Xenopus tropicalis: one gene and its partners. The protein of the gene in region 1 purifies or fractionates together with the protein of each later gene. This does not show direct contact. Links are inferred from orthologs where the notes say so. Each region holds a gene or a part of one and is shown on either strand. Other genes may lie near its edges. The genes, in order: nrbp1, tsc22d2 and tsc22d1.

Evidence for each region.
Region 2: the proteins of nrbp1 (region 1) and tsc22d2 purify together in Homo sapiens (affinity purification with mass spectrometry; 5 studies listed by BioGRID and IntAct, with this or other methods). This does not show direct contact. The link is inferred for Xenopus tropicalis from reciprocal best matches to the Homo sapiens genes NRBP1 and TSC22D2.
Region 3: the proteins of nrbp1 (region 1) and tsc22d1 purify together in Homo sapiens (affinity purification with mass spectrometry; 6 studies listed by BioGRID and IntAct, with this or other methods). This does not show direct contact. The link is inferred for Xenopus tropicalis from reciprocal best matches to the Homo sapiens genes NRBP1 and TSC22D1.

What each region holds. Positions count from the first base shown.
Region 1 is NC_030681.2:162,085,098-162,088,744, forward strand, and holds part of nrbp1 (nuclear receptor-binding protein), read left to right. Parts: intron 1-465; 5' UTR 466-506; coding exon 507-698; intron 699-958; exon of another isoform or gene 959-989; coding exon of another isoform or gene 990-1,031; intron 1,032-3,647. UniProt on the Homo sapiens protein: Required for embryonic development. Plays a role in intestinal epithelial cell fate and proliferation, thereby involved in the architectural development of the intestine potentially via the regulation of Wnt-responsive genes.
Region 2 is NC_030681.2:118,455,604-118,459,944, forward strand, and holds the start of tsc22d2 (TSC22 domain family protein 2), read right to left. Parts: upstream 2,840-4,341; 5' UTR 2,030-2,839; coding exon 165-2,029; intron 1-164. UniProt on the Homo sapiens protein: Reduces the level of nuclear PKM isoform M2 which results in repression of cyclin CCND1 transcription and reduced cell growth.
Region 3 is NC_030678.2:133,681,744-133,686,132, reverse strand, and holds the start of tsc22d1 (TSC22 domain family protein 1), read left to right. Parts: upstream 1-1,557; 5' UTR 1,558-1,571; coding exon 1,572-4,318; intron 4,319-4,389. UniProt on the Homo sapiens protein: Transcriptional repressor. Acts on the C-type natriuretic peptide (CNP) promoter. Acts to promote CASP3-mediated apoptosis.

The DNA of each region.
Region 1 (3,647 bases):
GGTAGCGATGTGGGGGGATTGGGGTGAGAGAGAGGCAGGGGTAGCGAGGTGGGGGGATTGGGGTGAGAGAGAGGCAGGGGTAGCGAGGTGGGGGGATTGGGGTGAGAGAGAGGCAGGGGTAGCGAGGTGGGGGATTGGGGTGAGAGAGAGGCAGGGGTAGCGAGGTGGGGGGATTGGGGTGAGAGAGAGGCAGGGGTAGCGAGGTGGGGGGATTGGGGTGAGAGAGAGGCAGGGGTAGCGAGGTGGGGGGATTGTCTTTGTCTTTTTTTTACATTATCTCGCATTTTCATGTGTATATCGGCTACATGTACTGCACCCGAGTGTATCTCATGCATTTGGGTGCAGGCACTTACCAAAAATATCCGCCCTATGCCTCGTGTGGCATTAGCCTAATGTCTCTGGGGGGGGGGGGGGGGAGGCATTGTGCTGAGCTGTGCCTTTAATCTCTGCCCTTTCCTCCCCCAGGTGCTGTTCCTTTAATTTTCTGAATATTCACACAAAGGGCAATGTCAGAAGGTGAAGGCAAAACTGCCCCCAGCACAGGCTCAGACCCCAAGATGGAGAGTGGGGTTTCCATGTCACCGCCTGTTAGTGCCCCCCCTGCACCACCACAGGAGGAGGAAGAGGAGGAGAGTGAAGATGAGTCTGAGATCCTAGAGGAGTCTCCTTGCGGGCGCTGGCAGAAGAGACGTGAGGAGGTGAGTCCTGGGGCAGGGGGGCATGGTGTGCCACAGGGGGCGCTGGCAGAAGAGACGTGAGGAGGTGAGTCCTGGGGCAGGGGGGCATGGTGTGCCACAGGGGGCGCTGGCAGAAGAGACGTGAGGAGGTGAGTCCTGGGGCAGGGGGGCATGGTGTGCCACAGGGGGCGCTGGCAGAAGAGACGTGAGGAGGTGAGTCCTGGGGCAGGGGGGCATGGTGTGCCACAGGGGTGCTGTTTGCTTGGCGCTGGCAGAAGAGACGTGAGGAGGTGAGTCCTGGGGCAGGGGGGCATGGTGTGCCACAGGGGGCGCTGGCAGAAGAGACGTGAGGAGGTGAGTCCTGGGGCAGGGGGACATCTGGTTTGGATAAATGGGGCGCGCTTCCCCCTTAATGTGAAAAAAGTCTTAATTAATAATTAATAGTTCTACTGTACATAAATACACTTACTGGGGAGCCAGCGCCCCCCCAATAGTTCTACTGTACATAAATACACTTACTGGGGAGCCAGCGCCCCCCCCAATAGTTCTACTGTACATAAATACACTTACTGGGGAGCCAGCGCCCCCAATAGTTCTACTGTACATAAATACACTTACTGGGGAGCCAGCGCCCCCCCAATAGTTCTACTGTACATAAATACACTTACTGGGGAGCCAGCGCCCCCCCAATAGTTCTACTGTACATAAATACACTTACTGGGGAGCCAGCGCCCCCCCAATAGTTCTACTGTACATAAATACACTCACTGGGGAGCCAGCGCCCCCCCCAATAGTTCTACTGTACATAAATACACTTACTGGGGAGCCAGCACCCCCCCCAATAGTTCTACTGTACATAAATACACTTACTGGGGAGCCAGCACCCCCCCAATAGTTCTACTGTACATAAATACACTTACTGGGGAGCCAGCACCCCCCCCAATAGTTCTACTGTACATAAATACACTTACTGGGGAGCCAGCGCCCCCCCCCCAATAGTTCAACTGTACATAAATACACTTACTGGGGAGCCAGCACCCCCCCCAATAGTTCTACTGTACATAAATACACTTACTGGGGAGCCAGCACCCCCCCCAATAGTTCTACTGTACATAAATACACTTACTGGGGAGCCAGCGCCCCCCCCAATAGTTCTACTGTACATAAATACACTTACTGGGGAGCCAGCGCCCCCCCCCAATAGTTCTACTGTACATAAATACACTTACTGGGGAGCCAGCGCCCCCCCAATAGTTCTACTGTACATAAATACACTTACTGGGAGCCAGCACCCCCCAATAGTTCTACTGTACATAAATACACTTACTGGGGAGCCAGCGCCCCCCCCCAATAGTTCTACTGTACATAAATACACTTACTGGGGAGCCAGCGCCCCCCCCAATAGTTCTACTGTACATAAATACACTTACTGGGGAGCCAGCGCCCCCCAATAGTTCTACTGTACATAAATACACTTACTGGGGAGCCAGCGCCCCCCCAATCGTTCTACTGTACATAAATACACTTACTGGGGAGCCAGCGCCCCCCCCAATAGTTCTACTGTACATAAATACACTTACTGGGGAGCCAGCGCCCCCCCAATAGTTCTACTGTACATAAATACACTTACTGGGGAGCCAGCGCCCCCCCCAATAGTTCTACTGTACATAAATACACTTACTGGGGAGCCAGCGCCCCCCCCAATAGTTCTACTGTACATAAATACACTTACTGGGGAGCCAGCGCCCCCCCCAATAGTTCTACTGTACATAAATACACTTACTGGGGAGCTAGCGCCCCCCCCAATCGTTCTACTGTACATAAATACACTTACTGGGGAGCCAGCGCCCCCCCCAATCGTTCTACTGTACATAAATACACTCACTGGGGAGCCAGCGCCCCCCCAATAGTTCTACTGTACATAAATACACTCACTGGGGAGCCAGCGCCCCCCCAATAGTTCTACTGTACATAAATACACTTACTGGGGAGCCAGCGCCCCCCCAATAGTTCTACTGTACATAAATACACTCACTGGGGAGCCAGCGCCCCCCAATAGTTCTACTGTACATAAATACACTCACTGGGGAGCCAGCGCCCCCCCCAATAGTTCTACTGTACATAAATACACTTACTGGGGAGCCAGCGCCCCCCAATAGTTCTACTGTACATAAATACACTCACTGGGGAGCCAGCGCCCCCCCAATAGTTCTACTGTACATAAATACACTTACTGGGGAGCCAGCGCCCCCCCAATAGTTCTACTGTACATAAATACACTTACTGGGGAGCCAGCGCCCCCCAATAGTTCTACTGTACATAAATACACTTACTGGGGAGCCAGCGCCCCCCCAATAGTTCTACTGTACATAAATACACTCACTGGGGAGCCAGCGCCCCCCCAATAGTTCTGCTGTACATAAATACACTTACTGGGGAGCCAGCGCCCCCCCCAATAGTTCTACTGTACATAAATACACTTACTGGGGAGCCAGCGCCCCCCAATAGTTCTACTGTACATAAATACACTTACTGGGGAGACAGCGCCCCCCAATAGTTCTGCTGTACATAAATACACTTATTGTGTGTATATAGATATATAAGATTATAGGGAATGGGGCATGGGGTTGGGCTGTGTGTGTGTATATCACTGTGTGTGTGTATATAGATATATAAGATTATGAGGCATGGGGTTGGGCTGTGTGTGTGTATATCACTGTGTGTGTGTATATAGATATATAAGATTATGAGGCATGGGGTTGGGCTGTGTGTGTGTATATCACTGTGTGTGTACAGTGGCTTGCAAAACTATTTGGCCCTCTTGAACTTTTCCACATTTTGTCACATTACAGCCACAAACATGAATCAATTTTATTGGAATTCCACGTGAAAGACCAATACAAAGTGGGGTACACAGGAGAGACCAATACAAAGTGGGGCGTGCGTAATTATTCAGCCCCCTTTGGTCTG
Region 2 (4,341 bases), about 44 Mb from region 1:
ACTGCATTTGTTTTAACGTTAAAAGCCAAATTGTGTAACTCCACTTTTCTTTAACATACAACAAAAATATTTTGGTATGATTCAGATGCTTCTAAAAATCAAATGCAAGTTCCTGGAGATATATGTATTAACAGCACTTAATCAAATGTGAAATGTTAGCATACCTGTCTTCATCACCATCAACTGGTAAACCAAAAACGGGTAATAGAGGGTTTGTTAAGGTGTCTGTGATGGGGACTTTCACAAAAGGCTTCTCAGAAATAAGAGACATTGGTGGCTGAGGTAGAGGTTCAGACTTTCTTCTGTCATCTATTTGGCCAACCAGTGACTGGCTCTGAGTCTGAAATTGATTAATATTTGACTGTGGCAAACTTGTGTGTACATTTGATGTGCCTTGCATTGTTGGAAGCCCAACTGTTGGGATCAGGCTATTACTTCTACTGACAGATGTATGGCTGCTCAGTGGAGACTGCACAAAAGCAGCAGGAGCAATTGGCATAGTAACAGGAGTGGCAGACACACTTGGCACCGTACTTGGTACTCCAGTAACACCTGTACCAGTTGCAGGCACGTTCTGTATTCCCGGAGCCATGGTAAGGTGTCCCCCTGGAATGCCTGAAACATTACTACTCCCACTCACTTGCTGATTTATAGACTTCTGCTGCACTATTCCAATAGATGGCACAGATGGTTGTGCCCCACTTCCTGGGTGCTGGACATGAACTGGCTGGCTCTGGGTTGCCTGACCGCTCTGTATCAATCCTGATCCCTGGCTCACTGAGTCACTAGTTTTGGGAAGAAGACCTATTAGTTGTGTTCCACCTGCTTGCAGGTGTTGGCCTGGAAGACTTGACTGAGCAACAGTACTTGCATTGAGAGATGTGGTGGGTTTCTGAGTTGTTCCTTGGGATTGTATAACTGTTATATGTTGGACATATTCCGTCTGACCAGCTGGCTGAGGGGACATCATGTGTCCAGACTGCACCTGGGAGTAAGTGAACGCTTGAGGCTGACTAACAGAAACACTGGGTTGCTGCTGAGTTAAAGATATTGTTGACTGGACTGTATGTACATTACGAGAACTGGTTCCTTTGCCATTCGTTGCACTTTGTGCAGCTGTATGTGACTGGCTCTGCTGCACTATCATCTGCTGACTTGTAACAGCACCAGGGTACATCTGTTGGGCAGTACCTTGAGACACCATTCCACCTACCGCCTGCTGCCCAATTAGAAACTGTTGCTGCTGAGAGGGTTGGTTCATTTTCTCATTCTGAAGCAACTGTGACACAGCACAAAGGGAACTGTCAACTGCAGATTCTGAACCGTGGCCACCATGCACAGCAGAGGCCACAACAGAACCCCCTGTGGCCCCCAATCCACTGTCCCTGTCCGCAGAGTGATCAAATGTGCTTGTGTGCCTGATTGCATCCCCAGTCCTAGTGATTAAGGTGGCATCAGAGTCCCTGTCATAAAATTCTGTACATGTCCATCGGCCTCTCCTGTACGGCTCCCCTGAGCCATGGTCAAGTTTGATCACCCTGAAGCGAGAGCTGCAAGTGGTGGTGGTGGTGGTGCTGCTTGTCGCTGCCGACTGAGAAGATACTAGGGGAACACTAGAGGCGGTGGGCGTAGCAGTCGCAGCAGGAGTGATCTGAGTAGCAGTTCCACTAGAAAGTTGGTTTGTCAGACCTAATGTAGCTCCTTGCCCGCTCCCTCTGCTCATGGTGCCCCCATTAGTGCCAATGACCCCAATACCATCCTGCGGCACATTGGGCGACACGGCGCCTGGCGTCTCTGACTCGCCGACATTGCTGAGGGTCTCCTCGGACGAGCTCCGCTCCACAACATCTTCCGGCCCGTAGTCTGTAGCCCGGGAGACATCGAAAATCTCCGAAGACACATCCTCGGTCCGCGATTCGTCCGGGTCATCCAGACTCTCCGTTTCCTCCGTGATGCTGCTGGCCGACTGGGCCGTGATGACACTTGTGATCTGGAAGCAGCTCTTTTTCTTGGCTGGCATCTTTGACATCGTAGAAGCAAGACCAATCCACTAGTGGAGGGGGTGCGAAGGGAAGGCAATCCGGATTCCAGATCCTCCTCCCTTAAGGGGGCTTCGGTAATATCCCTCGGTTACCGTGCTTAGGTGTAAGGGTTCGGGCCCAGATCCACTTCCTGTAAGCAAATGTACGGCTCTAGCGTAACACGGACATCCTGAGCTCTCCCACGATTCCCGATCGCTTCAGGAGTAAAGCCTGTAGGCCCGTAGCCGGAACCCCGATCTCCGCGGAAAGTGCTGTAGAGGCCCGGCCCCCTTTCGCAGCAGCACACTTCAGGGAAGATACAGGCCGCTGTCACAGATGGCGCTGCCGGCTCCAGATCAAGCCCAAAGCTCGGGGTTGGGGAATAGACCCCCTCTCTCCCCTACCTGCTCTCTTGAGTGGGTGTCATGTCGAGCGGCAGACTGGTGCTGTGGAGAAGGCGGATATGGAGCTGTCTCTGAGCTGGGGGAAACTCTCTCACACAGACCCTCCCTACATACACGGGACAGAGGAAGTGAAAACCCGTAAAGAGGGTGGAAAGTACAAGAGAGAAATGTCTGTTAGTGACGGCGGGGTAGGCCGCCCCTCCCCTTGCTCTGTCACCTCCGCCTCCTTTCACCTCCCTCAGCAGCTCTGCACACTCTGAAATTCAAACCGCTCACTCCCCTCCCTGCCCTTCCAAGATGGCAATAGTGGGCACTGTGAGGAGACAGCAAGCAAAAGGCGGCACCAAGAGGCCACAACACGCCCCCTTTGCTTTTGGTTCTGCGCTCTAGACACAAGTAGGGGCGGATAAAAGGCGGTCCGCAGAGAATGGGCGGGTATGTTCTAGTGTTGGAAGGGAGAAACCATAACTAGAAATTAAGGGGGAAGCGGGCAGGGAAAGCGGGTGGCACATTCCTGGGCTGAGTCTCTACCTTTGTCTTTGAGTAAATGCGCAGTCAGGGCTGCTTGTCTGGGAAAATGTGCGCATCCGCAGTAGTGGGATTCAAACGCTGCTGACTGGTTACCGGGCAGTATAGGAACTGCTGGGTAGGGAATTGGGTTAATCGCTATGCTGGCGCAAGTCAGCAGCTTACTGTCTAAAATAGCTTGTGTGAAAAGAAGTTAGCTTTCTTCTGTTGTTTTTTTCTTATATCACATGTGGTATCTTCAATATGTTTTTTCCAGTGTAACAAACATTTTTTTTAATTGAAAAGGGTGAGAAAGAATATATTTTTTGTCTGTTTGCTGAGCAGATAAAGAATTCCCTGTCTGCCTGTTACTTTGGTACCAGGTGGCATTGTGGTGGAGGAAACCCATGAATAGAATGTATAAACCTATGCAGATAGTGTCTTACTGGAAGTGATTCTGTGGCGCTACTGGGGAGACAAAATATCAGTTTGCCTTCCATTGGAATTCACATGTAAAGACTAGAAGTAGATCACCTTTCACATTAATGTCTAGTGTGACATGGATATTCTGAGGACATTTACAACAGATCTTTGTTTTTCTTAATTGTGATTTTTCAGTTGTGTAGCTTTTTGGTTCAGCAGCTGTCCGTTTTAAATTTTAGCAGCTGTCTGGTTGCTAGGGTCTTATTTACCATAGCAACCAGACATTGGTTTGAATAAGAGACTTGGATATGAATAGGAAAAGGCCTGGAAAAAAAGTCAAGTAATGAAACATTAAAAATGAAATTGTGGCTATATAGAGTTTTTTGGCTGCCAGAGTCAGTGCCCCCCCCCCCCAATCTGAAAGCTGGAAAGGTGTAGCAGAGGAAGGCAAATTATTCAATAACTATGAAAAATGAACAATTAAAACAAATTGCAAAGATTTTAGGAATAGAATATTCTATAGCATACTAAAAGTTAACTTAAAGGTGAACCACCCTTACTGACACTCAGTTTGGCCACTTGCCTGTGTGGCCATTTCAAATGGGAAGGCAGAGTGCCTTCCTTGAATTACCGTAGGTCTCTGTGTCCTGTTTTAAGATGGCGATACATGTTAAGATCTGCTCGCTTGGCAAGGTCCCTCTGGGGCCAAATAATCAAATTGTAACGACTGCAATAGGCGCAGTTGGTTCCGGGACCACATCATCGAGCCAATGCTGTCCCTGATCCGACTAATTTTTTTAGCCTGCCCAATCGATATCTGCCCGATTTCAGGCCAGATATCGGTTGGGCAGGCCTGTCGTTAGTGCCCCTACACGGGCTGATAAGCTGCCAAATCGGTCTAAGGGCAGAATCGTCCCATGTATGGCCACCTTTAGAGAGCAGAGACCCTGCAGGTTATCCCCTTGAATACAACTATAGGTGCATTT
Region 3 (4,389 bases), on another chromosome or scaffold:
CAAACACAGAAGCAGCCAATCATAACAAAGCTTAAATCAGCTGCAGTGCAGACTATAAAGCTCCTCTCTAGGGCTGATCCAAACGGCAGCACCAGCTGCTCAGCCCCACCACATGCATACCACAAATGTCACTTCAGAGGACAGAGGACTTCAGTTACAGAGCAAGAACTAAGAAAACTGCACCCTTCTCAAGAAAATATTTCAGCTATTAGCAGCTTTTTTGAAGTCCGGGGGCACTACCAAGGTCAAATAAATGAATCTAACACCAGGCAGAGCCATGTGTAACACTTAGGAAAGAAAGAACTGAGGCACGGAAGCCCACCAGGGACACAACAGGTGCAAGAGGAAAGCTTCTCCTGACAGGACTACCTGCCCAGCCACATTTTCTTTCTATGACTACTCGACTCCATTGGCAGACAATGCGGCCACGTGGCTAGGGCACAGCACAATAGCTTCCCAGCCACATGCACTCAGCCGGTCCCACATACACACTGGACACGTCTTCCCCAGTCCTGCATTAACGTCACCACTGCCGAAACCCTCGCCCTACACTCCTCGGAACCTTCCGCCACCAATCGTACAGCCTACTGCGTCATCACCAGGCCCCGCCCCCATTCTCCCCTCCCCACTTGCCCAGTTGCTCAGTTCTTTTTTATCAGCGTTCCACAAAGTAGCAGGCGCGCATGCGCGGCGGCCATTTTCCCATACTTCCTCCCGTCAATGCAGTTCTCCGCCCCTTTGACAAGCTGCCTGCCCGGCTCCCAGCAGCTGTCCTCCAATGCCGTGTGAGATTAAAGAGGAGGAGGGAGGGACAGGCGCTGTGTAACAGGGAGCCTGAGCCGAGAGGCACTGCTAGAGAAAAGAAAGGCAGAGTCACGGGGGGAAAGAGACACTAAGAGGGGAGCTTATTAACAGCCGGTCGCTCCCAGCTACTGCTTCGGCTTCCACTCGCCCCCCTTTTCCGTGCCGGAAGGGTGATTTTGGAGTAGCCGAACTGAAAGCAGCCGTTGCCAGCTAGCGCATCCCTATACGGCTAGCGTTCGGCCCCTGCTATACGGATTGGGCCGCTGCCGGGCCCCGGGCACGATGCCTGCTGAAGGCTGTCAGTGATGGCCTCTTCTTTTGCCGCTCAGCTTGTTGCCGACGTTTCCAGATCTTTGACCGGACGCACTACCGACAACGAACAAGATAACCGCGGCTGTCCTGTCATCTGCCGTACCCGGCGCCCGGATCCTGGGAAACTATTTGTGCTGCCACTGCCCCCTGAGGATTGATATGGAGGAGTGTCATTAAAGGGAAGGCGTTTGATCATTGTGATTAAGAGCGGAGTGGGAGGCGGCCGGGGAAGTGGCACCGCATTACATGTATCTGGCTAGTGCGCAGAGGAGTGGGTGACGTCCATCTGCCCGTGTGTGTCTCTATAACATACATAGATACATATAGAGCGAACAGGGCTGCAGCTGTTTGATCTCAGCAGGAGAGCCCCGATCCCCCTTAGTGAGGGAGGCACATCTTGCACGTTTGGAGGAGTGGATGTGGGTGGGCTAAGGGGTTAGAGGAGGGGAATTAAAATGCACCAGCCTGATCCAGCCGCAGATCTTGCTGCCAGGAAGATGGCGCACCCGGCAGATCTGCCCAGAAGGGGTAGTGGGACTGGTGGCAGCTCGGCTGCGCTGCATGGAGCAGTAGGGCCAGGGCTCGCCGGCCACGTCCTGTCTTCAGATGATTACCCTCCTCTGTTGGTGCAGCCTCCGCCTCCCGCCGCAGCTTCATCTCCTGGACCCCAGCAGCATCCTCCCCAAACACTGAATTTACTGCCCCAGCCACTTGTGCAGAGCGGCGCCCAGATCAAGAAGAAAAGCGGCTTTCAGATCACCAGTGTAACTTCTGCTCAAATCTCAGCCAGCATGAGCTCCAACAATAGCATTGCTGAAGATACCGAGAGCTATGACGATCTGGATGAGTCTCACACCGAGGATTTGTCATCTTCTGAAATATTGGATGTGTCTTTATCTAGAGCCACAGACCTTGGGGGTCCAGAAAGAAGTTCATCAGAAGAGACTTTGAATAACTTCCAGGAAGCTGAGACACCTGGTGCTGTCTCTCCTAACCAACCACACCTCCCCCAGCATCATCTGCCACAGAATGTACAGCAGAATATCATGATTAATGGAAGTATACATCATCACCACCTTCATCACCATGGACATAGCCATCCTTCCCAACATGGATTACCCAATGCAGCCATTCCCGGAGGGTTACCCCCAACTCCTGCTTCAGTGAAACTGCCTGCACAAGGCAGTTCTGATAGTGCTGTTACAGCAGTGCCTGTTGCTGCTCCTTCTGTTTCTCATCAGCCTGCTGGATCTATACCACCAATTGCAGGTAAAACAAGTGGACCTGTAAGTACTGGCATTACTCCTGCTTCAGGTAATACTAGTGCACCAACTAATGCAAATATTTCAAGTCTGAGTGGTGTAACAGGTTCTTTGCCTAGTGGTGTAAATATAAATCAAAGTTCTGTCACAAGTACAAGTAATGTAGGCACTTTACCTGGCAGCCTTAATCTGCAGTCACAAGGCACTACTGGTAATGGTAGCAGTGCTACTTCTGGTATCATGAACAATGTTTCTGGTGCTGCTGCTGCGTCAGCAATTGGACAGAATGCAGCACAACATCAGGCGGTTGCTTCAGGTGCAGCAACATCTAGATTTAGAGTTGTAAAATTAGACTCTAGTTCTGAACCTTTTAAAAAAGGCAGATGGACGTGTATGGAATTTTATGACAAAGATAATGTAGCAGCTGCAACAGAAGGAGCTGCAATCAACAAAGCCGTAGAGAGCATTAAACAAAACCCACTTGAAGTAATGTCTGAAAGAGAGAGCACTAGTGGAAGCTCAGTTAGTAGCAACATCAGCACTTTGAGCCATTATACGGAAAGTGTTGGTAGTGGAGAAATGGGGACGCCTTCCGTACAGCAGCCAGGATTTCAAGGTCTAGGTCCTCCGCAGATGGACTTGAGTAACGCAATAGCTCAGACTATTCCTGCCCCCAGTATGCCACAGAGTATTTCCCAGCCCCAGCTTGCTCAGTTACAGATGCATTCACAAGATGCCAACTTTTCTCCTCAGAAACTAGCAGGGCAGCCTGCTCAAGCTCCATTGAATGCTTCTGCTGGTGTCCAGCCAGCATCAGTTAATATACTTGGTGTGCCATCCTCTTTGGGACATCAGCAGCCAAGTGTTTCTACTTTGATCCCACAACAATTGCCATACACTCAACAGACTCAGCCCATACAAAGTCTCCCAGCTGTTCCACAACAGTTACAATACACGCATCAACAGACTGCCTCTGCCCAGATGACCTCTGGACATGTACCAGTAAATCAAAGTTCTGTTCCAGGGAATTTGCCGGAATACATTCAGCATCCACAAATAATACAAACAGCCATTCCCCCAATGCAAACCAGTTCTACAGTTGTTAATACTGCAGCTGTCCCTGTTGCCCAAACACATGCCATGCAAACCCAGATTCAGTCTTCAACAGCACAAGCTCCAGCAGCAGTTGCTCAAACTCAGCCTGTGGCACACCCCCCGGCATCAATTGCAGCAACAGGTCAGATGTTAGGTGTTAATCCACAAGGTAACCTTCCTGCTACAGTGCATCAAGCAGCTACCCCTCAAGTTGCAACATCTATAATACAACAGAGTGTTCCAGCTCCTTCTTCCCAGGTATTGCCTCCACCACAAGGAATACAGGTTGGTCCTCCTGGAATTCCTCAACAAGTCATTATTGCACCTCAGAGTACACTGCTTCCTGCAAAGCCTCAAAGTCAGCTTATTGACCCTCCTGTACAAGGCATGTCAAACCAACAGGTACCTGCTGTAAGTCCTCTGCTAGCTGCAGCTAGTGTTCCGACTGTTCAGCAACTAAGTACAAGTATACCTTCCGCTTTACCTCCAACGGCAACAACTTTGGGTCCACCACCAACAGTTTCACAAGCTTCAGCAGCGCAAAATGGGAATTTGGGTCAAAGTAGTAACCAAGCACCTGTGATCGCAAATTTACCAGTTGCTCAAAGCTTACCACTACAGTTGACACAGAGTTCAGGCCAGTTTGTTGCACCATCTCTTATTCAGTCTGTGGCAAGCCAGATAGAAGATGCCAGACGTATAATGGAGCATTCAGTAGCTGGCATATCCACTGTTGGCGAAGGAGCTTCTTCAGAAGGTAGCGGTGGTCTTCCAGTCTCTGGGTCCTTGCTTCCACTGAAATCTCTTCCTCTATCAACACCTCTTGTTGATGGTGAAGATGAAAGGTAAGTTGAAATAGAAAGTTAAAAGGTTTGGGTTGTTATCACTTTGAGTCAGCAAAGCCCATATAGCTTTC